Linked DNA regions of Drosophila melanogaster. The protein of the gene in region 2 interacts with the protein of the main gene of each other region in a pairwise test. Each region holds a gene or a part of one and is shown on either strand. Other genes may lie near its edges.

Region 1 (3,755 bases), on a different chromosome or scaffold from region 2:
TGAGGTCAGTCTCCAACTTGGCAGCCAGTTCGCTGTATTGCACATAGAAAAGGCGTTGCATCTTCAATGCCGCTGGAACAGTCGAATAGAACTCTGGCTTGGCGATGTAGCTGACGACATCGTCAACTAACTTGGCCTCTGGGATGGGCATAAATGACTTTCGGCCGCCCAGAGGCGGCTTTTTTATGGTGTCTATGAATGCAAACATTTTCAATAATTGTTGAACTTGTTTAGTACATCTAATTCAAAGATAAACTGATTTAATATCGTATGCAAATTAAACAGCATTATCTGCTAGAATGTATAAATTTTCTTTCTCTATTTAAAGTACTCCGCATTGCGTCAGCTTAAAATCCAGCATGGTCTTTATTTTGCAAAAAATGTTATTGTGATTTCTTAGACCTAGAGTACATATTAATGTATCAATAATTTAAAAGCGCATTCACATAGATCCTAATCAAATATTGTCATAGTCTTCGTCTAATTCGAAAACGGTTTCAGTGGGGGTCGCTGATGCCGCTGTGGCCTTTGGAATGATGGGAGCGCTGCTCTTTCCAGCCATTTGGTTCACATTATTGTTGTCCCCCGGCGTGGCCGCTGGTAATCCAATAGAGGCGGGGGGCACACCACTGCCAGGTGCTCCACCGGCCACGATATTCGTCAGATCGATATTGATCACCGGAGCAGCTATGTCGAAGTTAAAAGCTCCAGATCCGGCGCCCGATCCTGACCCAGAATCAGAGGCGTCCGGTGTGCACAGGTTCGCCGTCGGCATTTGCACGTGGCTGTAGTCGATCTTGACAATGGGCTTGTTGAGTTCGTAGTTGCAGATCGGGGCGGGTATGGCAGTATCGAGCTGCACCGACTGTTTCTTGAGGTGATTGGGCGGTCTGCCCCGTGGCGTGTAGGCCGGCATGGACCCGGAGCGGGCCAGCTTGGCGGGCAGGGTGGTGCTGGTGGTGGGAGTTTCCTGGGTGGAGTGCTGCGACTGAAACTGCCGCTTGGTGGCTGCGGCTCCTCCGCCCGATCCGGCTCCGTTGTTCAGACTCATGGAGCGCATGTAGGCAGCTGTGCCGTTCGCCTGCGAGCGCATTGACGTCGATGGCAGGCTAAGATCATATGGCGTGTCTGAATCTGGATACTGTTCCTCTGGCGAGCTGCGTAACACATCGTCCTCGTTGTAGGCGGCCTCCTCGGCCACACTGATGTCGGGTATGTTGCGGACCAGCTCCTTGAGGAAGTCAAAGCGTTTCTCGGATACGATACACTGCCTCATGTGCGATGGCGATAGCGTCTTGGCGTTGCGCGCATTCGTGATGCGCAGCGTCTTGGTCAGCAGCGACTCCACGAAGAGCTCCAGCGTGCGTGAGATGATAACAGGCACCGCCTGGGCCACCTTCCCGATTTCCTCGTCGCTTTGCATGATCTTCTTGATGCGACCCTGCAAGGAGTTTATGGTAATGGTTTGGAAACATTATAATCTCGCACCGGTTTGGTTTCTCCTCTACTTCTTTTGAGCCTCTGATTATGCGAGGCGTGTATGTACATATGTATGTACACATGCACGAAAACTGATAACCCATCTTCGGCGTTCACGGCCGCCAAATGGCTGGAGCTTTCCTGTCGCCAATCGGTGGTTTCAACTTACCGCCGGAAAGCGTGCGTTGTATTTTTTCTTTTTCGATGGCATTTTCCGATTTGTGAAGTAATCGTCAAGAGTCCTAGTGAAATAAAACAAATGTGTGTGTGTTTTTCACACAAGAACAGTTCCTTGGTGCCCAACTGTCGGCGTCGATGGGTGAATGGCAGTTGCTCTCGCAGCAGGCGGGGTATTCACAGGGAAGCAAAAGGTATTAATATCAAAATTTGAAAGATTAAAAATTTTTGTACATTATAAGAGATGTTATTTCTTTTTGTTGTTATTTATGTGATTGTTTTTTATTTTGCTTTGATGTATTAGGTTTCCTACACAGCTGACCGTCGCGCAGTCTGGCTACCTTGATCGTGCACTGTGAATGACTACAACCGCCAAGAAGAAGAAGAGTGCAGAACACTTCCAAGTACTTTTCACATATTGCAAGAGCGATTTAATATCGTAAGAATTCTGGGCAGGATTACATGTCTGACACTCGCAAGGATCCCTGCAAACCGAACGCCTGCCGCATACAAGCCTGTCTGACCAGTAAGCACCGCCGGTGACTCCATTTTCATGGTTATGTAAGCTGACTTGCACTCGGTTACAGAGAATCACTACCAGGAGGACAAGTGCTTGGATGTCCTTGAGGCAATGCGCCAGTGCTGTTTAAAGTGGCACAAGGAATCGCTTTGCTGCAGTGGAATCGATTTGGAGAAGACTTATCTACCAGACGCATCCAAGGAAAAGAACGCAACCGGCAAGTCGTGAGTTGTAGCCAACTTCTCTATTCCATATACACTATTATCAACTCGTTTTGCAGGAACAAATAATGTCCATACCGCAGTATAGGCCTCCGAAGGAAATTCAAGACTTGCTGGACCAAAAGGAGCAACAGCAAGCAAATCAGCGCAGGCGAACCGCTGTGCTACCCAAACGCACGTGGATTCAGCGAAATCCACGCCTGTTCCAGATCTCCTTCATCACAGGCTCACTTCTGATCTTCTTCTCCAAGCCCCTGTTTGACTGCTTTATCGCCGATCCCCTACCACCGCCGGAGAACAAAGTTCCGCCTCACAAGCGCTAAGCTAAGGCATGGAATCGGTGCGCAAAGCCAACCAAAGAATCCGCAACTATCCAGTTCTGCTAAGCAAGTGCGCGGACAAAGCCACTGCGTATGCGGTTTGCGTGTCGCGTGATCTAAACGTGCAGCACAAAATCTGCGACACCGAGTTCAAGGAGTTCCTAAGCTGTATCCGCAAGACCGCTTTGGAAATGAAGACCAAGCTTTAGACAAACGTAAACAATAAACACGATGACTCAAACAAAGGCTGCGACCACTGGATGGCAGCGACTGGGTCGCCGCATCCTTTACACTAGCTTTCGGACCCATCTACTAATATCCGCCCTGCTGCGAATAGCTTTAATTTGCTACGGACAATTACACGACAGTCAGTCCGCCGTGCCCTACACCGATATAGACTACAAGGTGGTGACTGATGGAGCCCGTCAAGTTCTGGCTGGGGACACACCCTTCGCCAGGCATACTTACCGATATAGCCCAATCATGGCATATCTGCAGACTTTTAACATCCTGCTTCATCCGGCGTGGGGTAAACTACTGTATGCGACATTCGATCTTCTCATCGCCACACTTATTTACCGTCTGGTGCACATGGAAATCAAGAGTCAGTACCAGAAGACCGTACAACACCTGCTTAGCAAGTTCAACAGGCCACGGGACTCGGACCAATCGCTGGATGCCCTGGATGAGCGAAGTCATCCAGAGAACTTGGCCCGCGCCTCTGCTTGCTTTTGGTTATACAACCCGCTGACGGCTGTAATATCCACACGTGGAAGCGGCGATTGCTTCTCAAGCTTCTTCGTGATACTAACTATATACCTGCTGTTAAAATCTGAGCACAATGTCACCAGGAGTTACTGGCTTATATTCGGAGCGGGCTTGGCTCACGGTCTAGTGATACACCTCCGTCTGTATCCGTTGCTATTCAGTTTGGCATACTATTTATCGCTATCAACGCGGCTGACACAAACTCCCCTCGACTTCCTGTGCCAAATCCTGCGGCCCAACAAGCAACAACTGTGCCTGATAAGTGGAACA
Region 2 (3,755 bases):
GCTGGTGGATCGTTCTTGGGCCCAATCAGCTTGACCAGCTCGTTGATGAAGTCCTTCTGGGCCACCAGGACATGGAAGGCCTTGCCGCAGTTCTTCACGCATGTCTCCAGGACGGTCAGCGTGTACATCACCACCTGGTTGTTTTTGCCGGCGTTCTGGGAGAGGCGTTTGCGAATGGCACGCATAGCATCGCGTGCAGTGTCGGAGGATTCGTTGATCATGTCGCAGATCTCCATGTTGGCGGCCCAGTTCTCCGAGGCCAGGTTGGCATCGGTGGCGGCCTCTGAAAGGTGAGAAGGTAAGTATTAGTTGACACCTTAAGATCTTTTTAAATCTATCGTTCTTCCAGAAAAAAAAACTGCAACAATATTTCATGTAATATAAATACAAAAACAAAAAAGGTATCCCTATTTTTTTTTTTTAAATTTGTATCTTATTTCTGAAAACGCTCGTTACATTTTAATTATAATAATATATTTAATTATAATTCCAAGTAAATTGTGCGGTTTTTGATCCGAAAGATGTAATTATTTTTTTCGTTTTCTGTGTGAAAACCCAAGTAAACAATTTGCATTCCTTTGTTTGTTTTTATGGGCGGCTGAAACTGTGTTTTTTAACAGGTGGGCGAGCATTATCTTTCGTTTATAATTTAGGATCTACCAAGTGCAATGACTTGCTCGAATTAAAAATGCACAAAGCAATTTGTTTAAATCCAAAACGAAACCATTGCGCAAAGTGTATTTCTCAGATATCAGATATCGTAACACTGATATCCAACAGATATAGGAGATATGGGAAAAGCTAACCAACCGCAATACAATAACAAAATGTGAGCTCATAAAAAAAGCGAAGCAACAAATTAGTACGGCACTAATACATATGCACGATTGCACGTAAATGTGTGTATCTGTGTTTGTTGTGTGTGCAGCGGCAAATGGAAATTATGGCGAAAATGCGAGCCAAAGGGGAACACGAAATAAATTAACACATTTTTTTATGTAACCCAGCGGCCAGCGGCAACGATGACTAATTGCGATTACTAAGGGCGCAAAACAGGTGGCCGCCAGGAGGGGGTGAAGGGAAAACAGGCAATCAAACAATAAAAGAGCGCATCAATAACAATACTCTTTGTGTGCGTGCCAAAAGGTGAGCAATTTCATAAAGCATACCAACAAACATTTATCTGATTTGTCACACCTGCCTGTTGGAACCGCATACTCATATAAGGGTTAATCTTATCAGAGGCCCACCGTTGTTGCCACCGCCTTTCAAATCAAATCAGACCGCTTTGCCATAGTAATGGTCTGGCAACAACAAATGAGTATCGCTACATGGAAATGTGCGCGTGTGTGTGAGAGACCAACAACAAAACAAGAAAACAAGCAAACGCACGAAGAAAGTTGTGAAAATTCAATTTTCCAATGGCCCAGTCTGATTGGGACTGCCTTGAAGCGTCCTCTAATCAGATAACTATCAATGTAAATGCGTAAATATCAACGCATATGCGTTGTATTTGTGGAAAATATTACGCTTTAACCACATATACACACACCCCCGCTTCCGGTGGGTGTTTTTTTTACGCTGGAGGGGGGAGGGTGGTTTACTCACCTATGCGCTGGCCAACTGGAGTGGAGAAAACATTTCCCAAGGCGCCAACGTTGAAAAATGAAGCCATCGTGGAGAAGTTTCTTATTAATGCTCGCCGTTGGGTTGCAGTGCGGTTAAAATTGTTCTTTATTTACTTTTTGTTCACCTGGATGAAATGTTTATGCACTTGTCTACAGCAGAGTGACCATGGCTGGCCTCAGCGAAAAATACCCACAAAGAAATGCATTACAATAAGTGGGTAAATAGGAATAGGTTTTTTTCCAGGGCTGCAGCATTTTATTTCATTTTATTTAAAAGAATTATCCACAGTTTTTGAGATAATGACATAGTTATACCCGTTACTCGTAGAGTAAAAGGGTTTATTAGATTCGTTGAAAAGTATGTAACAGGCAGACCATATAAAGTATATATATTCTTGATCAGGATCAGTAGCCGAGTCGATCTGGCGATGTCCGCCTGTCTGTACGTTTGAACGTCGAGATCTCAGGAACTATTTAAGCTAGAATGTTTAGATTAAGCGTGCAGATTCCAGAGACATAGACGCAGCCCAAGATTGTTGACCCATGTTTCCATGACCACTCCAACGCCCACATTAGATTGTTCTTAGTTTTATTGTTCACCTTGCACCTTGCACCTTTTGGATTGTAATCACACCCACATCTTTAAACAATTTTAATTTTTTCTCATTTTATTCGCAATCCGACTAGCTGAGTAACGGGTACCTCATAGTCATGGTTGTTCACAGAGCGTGTTATGTATCTCAAAAACTTTGTAATTTCAAAGAGTTATTTCACAATTCATTCCACAGATTTCGTGGATAATGAATTTTCGATTGTTCAACCTTGCACCTGTCTCAAAAATGAGCTTTCCGTCAGCGGTCCTTCTGACGGTACCGCTGGCGGTCCCACTGATGGTTCCGCTGATGGTCCCGTTGATAGCCCCACGGACGGTCCCCTTGACGGTTCCGCTGACGGTCCCTTCGATGGTTCCGCTGCCGGTCGTGCTGACGGCCCCGTCGACGGTCCGGCTGATGGTCCCTTCGACGGTCCCGCTGAGGGTTCCGCTGAGGATCCCGCTGAGAGTCCCACTGAATGGCATTGGAACGAACTCGTTGATGACCAATCCAATGACGGTCGCGCTGACGGTCCCGCTGACGGTAGCGCTGACGGTCTGGCTGAGGGTCCCGCTGAAGGCTCCTCTAGCGTTCCCGCTGACTTTCCCGCTGACGTTCCCGCTGACGTTCCCGCTGACGTTCGCGCTGACGCTAACGCTCCTGCTGACGGGCACGTCGTCGGTCTCGCTGTCAGTGATCTCCATGTCGACGGCCCAGATTTCCGAGGACAGTTCATAGGATTCGTCCTCTGAAAGAAGAGAACGTAGGGTATATTAGTGAGTGAGGCTTTGAGACTTATATTTTGATAGTCCCGACTTGGTTAGTCGGCTAAACTTCTCTGTTCCAAGACCCATAATCTTAAGCCCATTTAGATCTAACTATAAGTTGCATGATTCTTACAGAATATTGTGTTCTGACTATAATAGTCATTATCCTATTATCTGTAATCTTTGCTCTCTGCCGCTCTTAAAGCAATCAATCAAATCAATCGGTGCATTATTCACAAATACGACGCAAAATTTGTTTTTGGTTAGATTAAGGAATATATGAGTTAGCGGTTCCAACAGGCTGATAGGACAAATCATATGCCTCGCACGTAGGGTATAAACTGAGAAGAAACGTGTTTTTCCCCGGAATTCTTTGCGACACATACAGTTTGTCAAGAAACTGTTTACACACTGTGAAATAAGTTGAATTTTTGACTTTAAAGCTAAAAATAAAGGGTTTTTTGCTTAATTAAACGCAATTTTTTTATAAAATATAATTAAACAATATTTATTTTACTTATAAATCAAAAAACAAATTAAAAATATTAAATATACAAGAAAATAAACAACAAATTCCAAGTTTACACACTTTTGAGACTGTCAAGAAACTCTTTACACATTTTGTTTTCCTACTTTGTTTTGTTCTTTTTCTTAGAACGAACTCGATTTTTCCGTTATTTTTGGCTTTACATTGCTTTTTACAACGCTTCTATTGAAATTTGTTGACTTTGCTTGTGAAATTTTGCTGATCAAACGTGCTTAAAGCG

Evidence for each region. The genes of interacting proteins can lie anywhere in the genome.
Region 1: the proteins of CG3529 (region 2) and NC2alpha interact in a two-hybrid assay, tested with the Drosophila melanogaster proteins (one large-scale study listed by BioGRID).

Annotation. Positions count from the first base shown.
Region 1 is NT_033778.4:21,668,182-21,671,936, reverse strand, and holds NC2alpha (negative cofactor 2alpha), read right to left. Parts: upstream 1,786-3,755; 5' UTR 1,691-1,785; coding exon 1,649-1,690; intron 1,442-1,648; coding exon 458-1,441; 3' UTR 344-457; downstream 1-343. Other genes in the region: CG15676 (uncharacterized protein), read right to left, coding at 1-208; CG42381 (uncharacterized protein), read left to right, coding at 2,119-2,182, 2,244-2,400, 2,457-2,466; CG42379 (uncharacterized protein), read left to right, coding at 2,466-2,720; CG42380 (uncharacterized protein), read left to right, coding at 2,729-2,926; PIG-M (phosphatidylinositol glycan anchor biosynthesis class M), read left to right, coding at 2,949-3,755.
Region 2 is NT_037436.4:9,444,916-9,448,670, reverse strand, and holds the start of CG3529 (uncharacterized protein), read right to left. Parts: upstream 1,808-3,755; 5' UTR 1,676-1,807; coding exon 1,609-1,675; intron 284-1,608; coding exon 1-283. Other genes in the region: Srg3 (Sting-regulated gene 3), read right to left, coding at 2,386-2,969.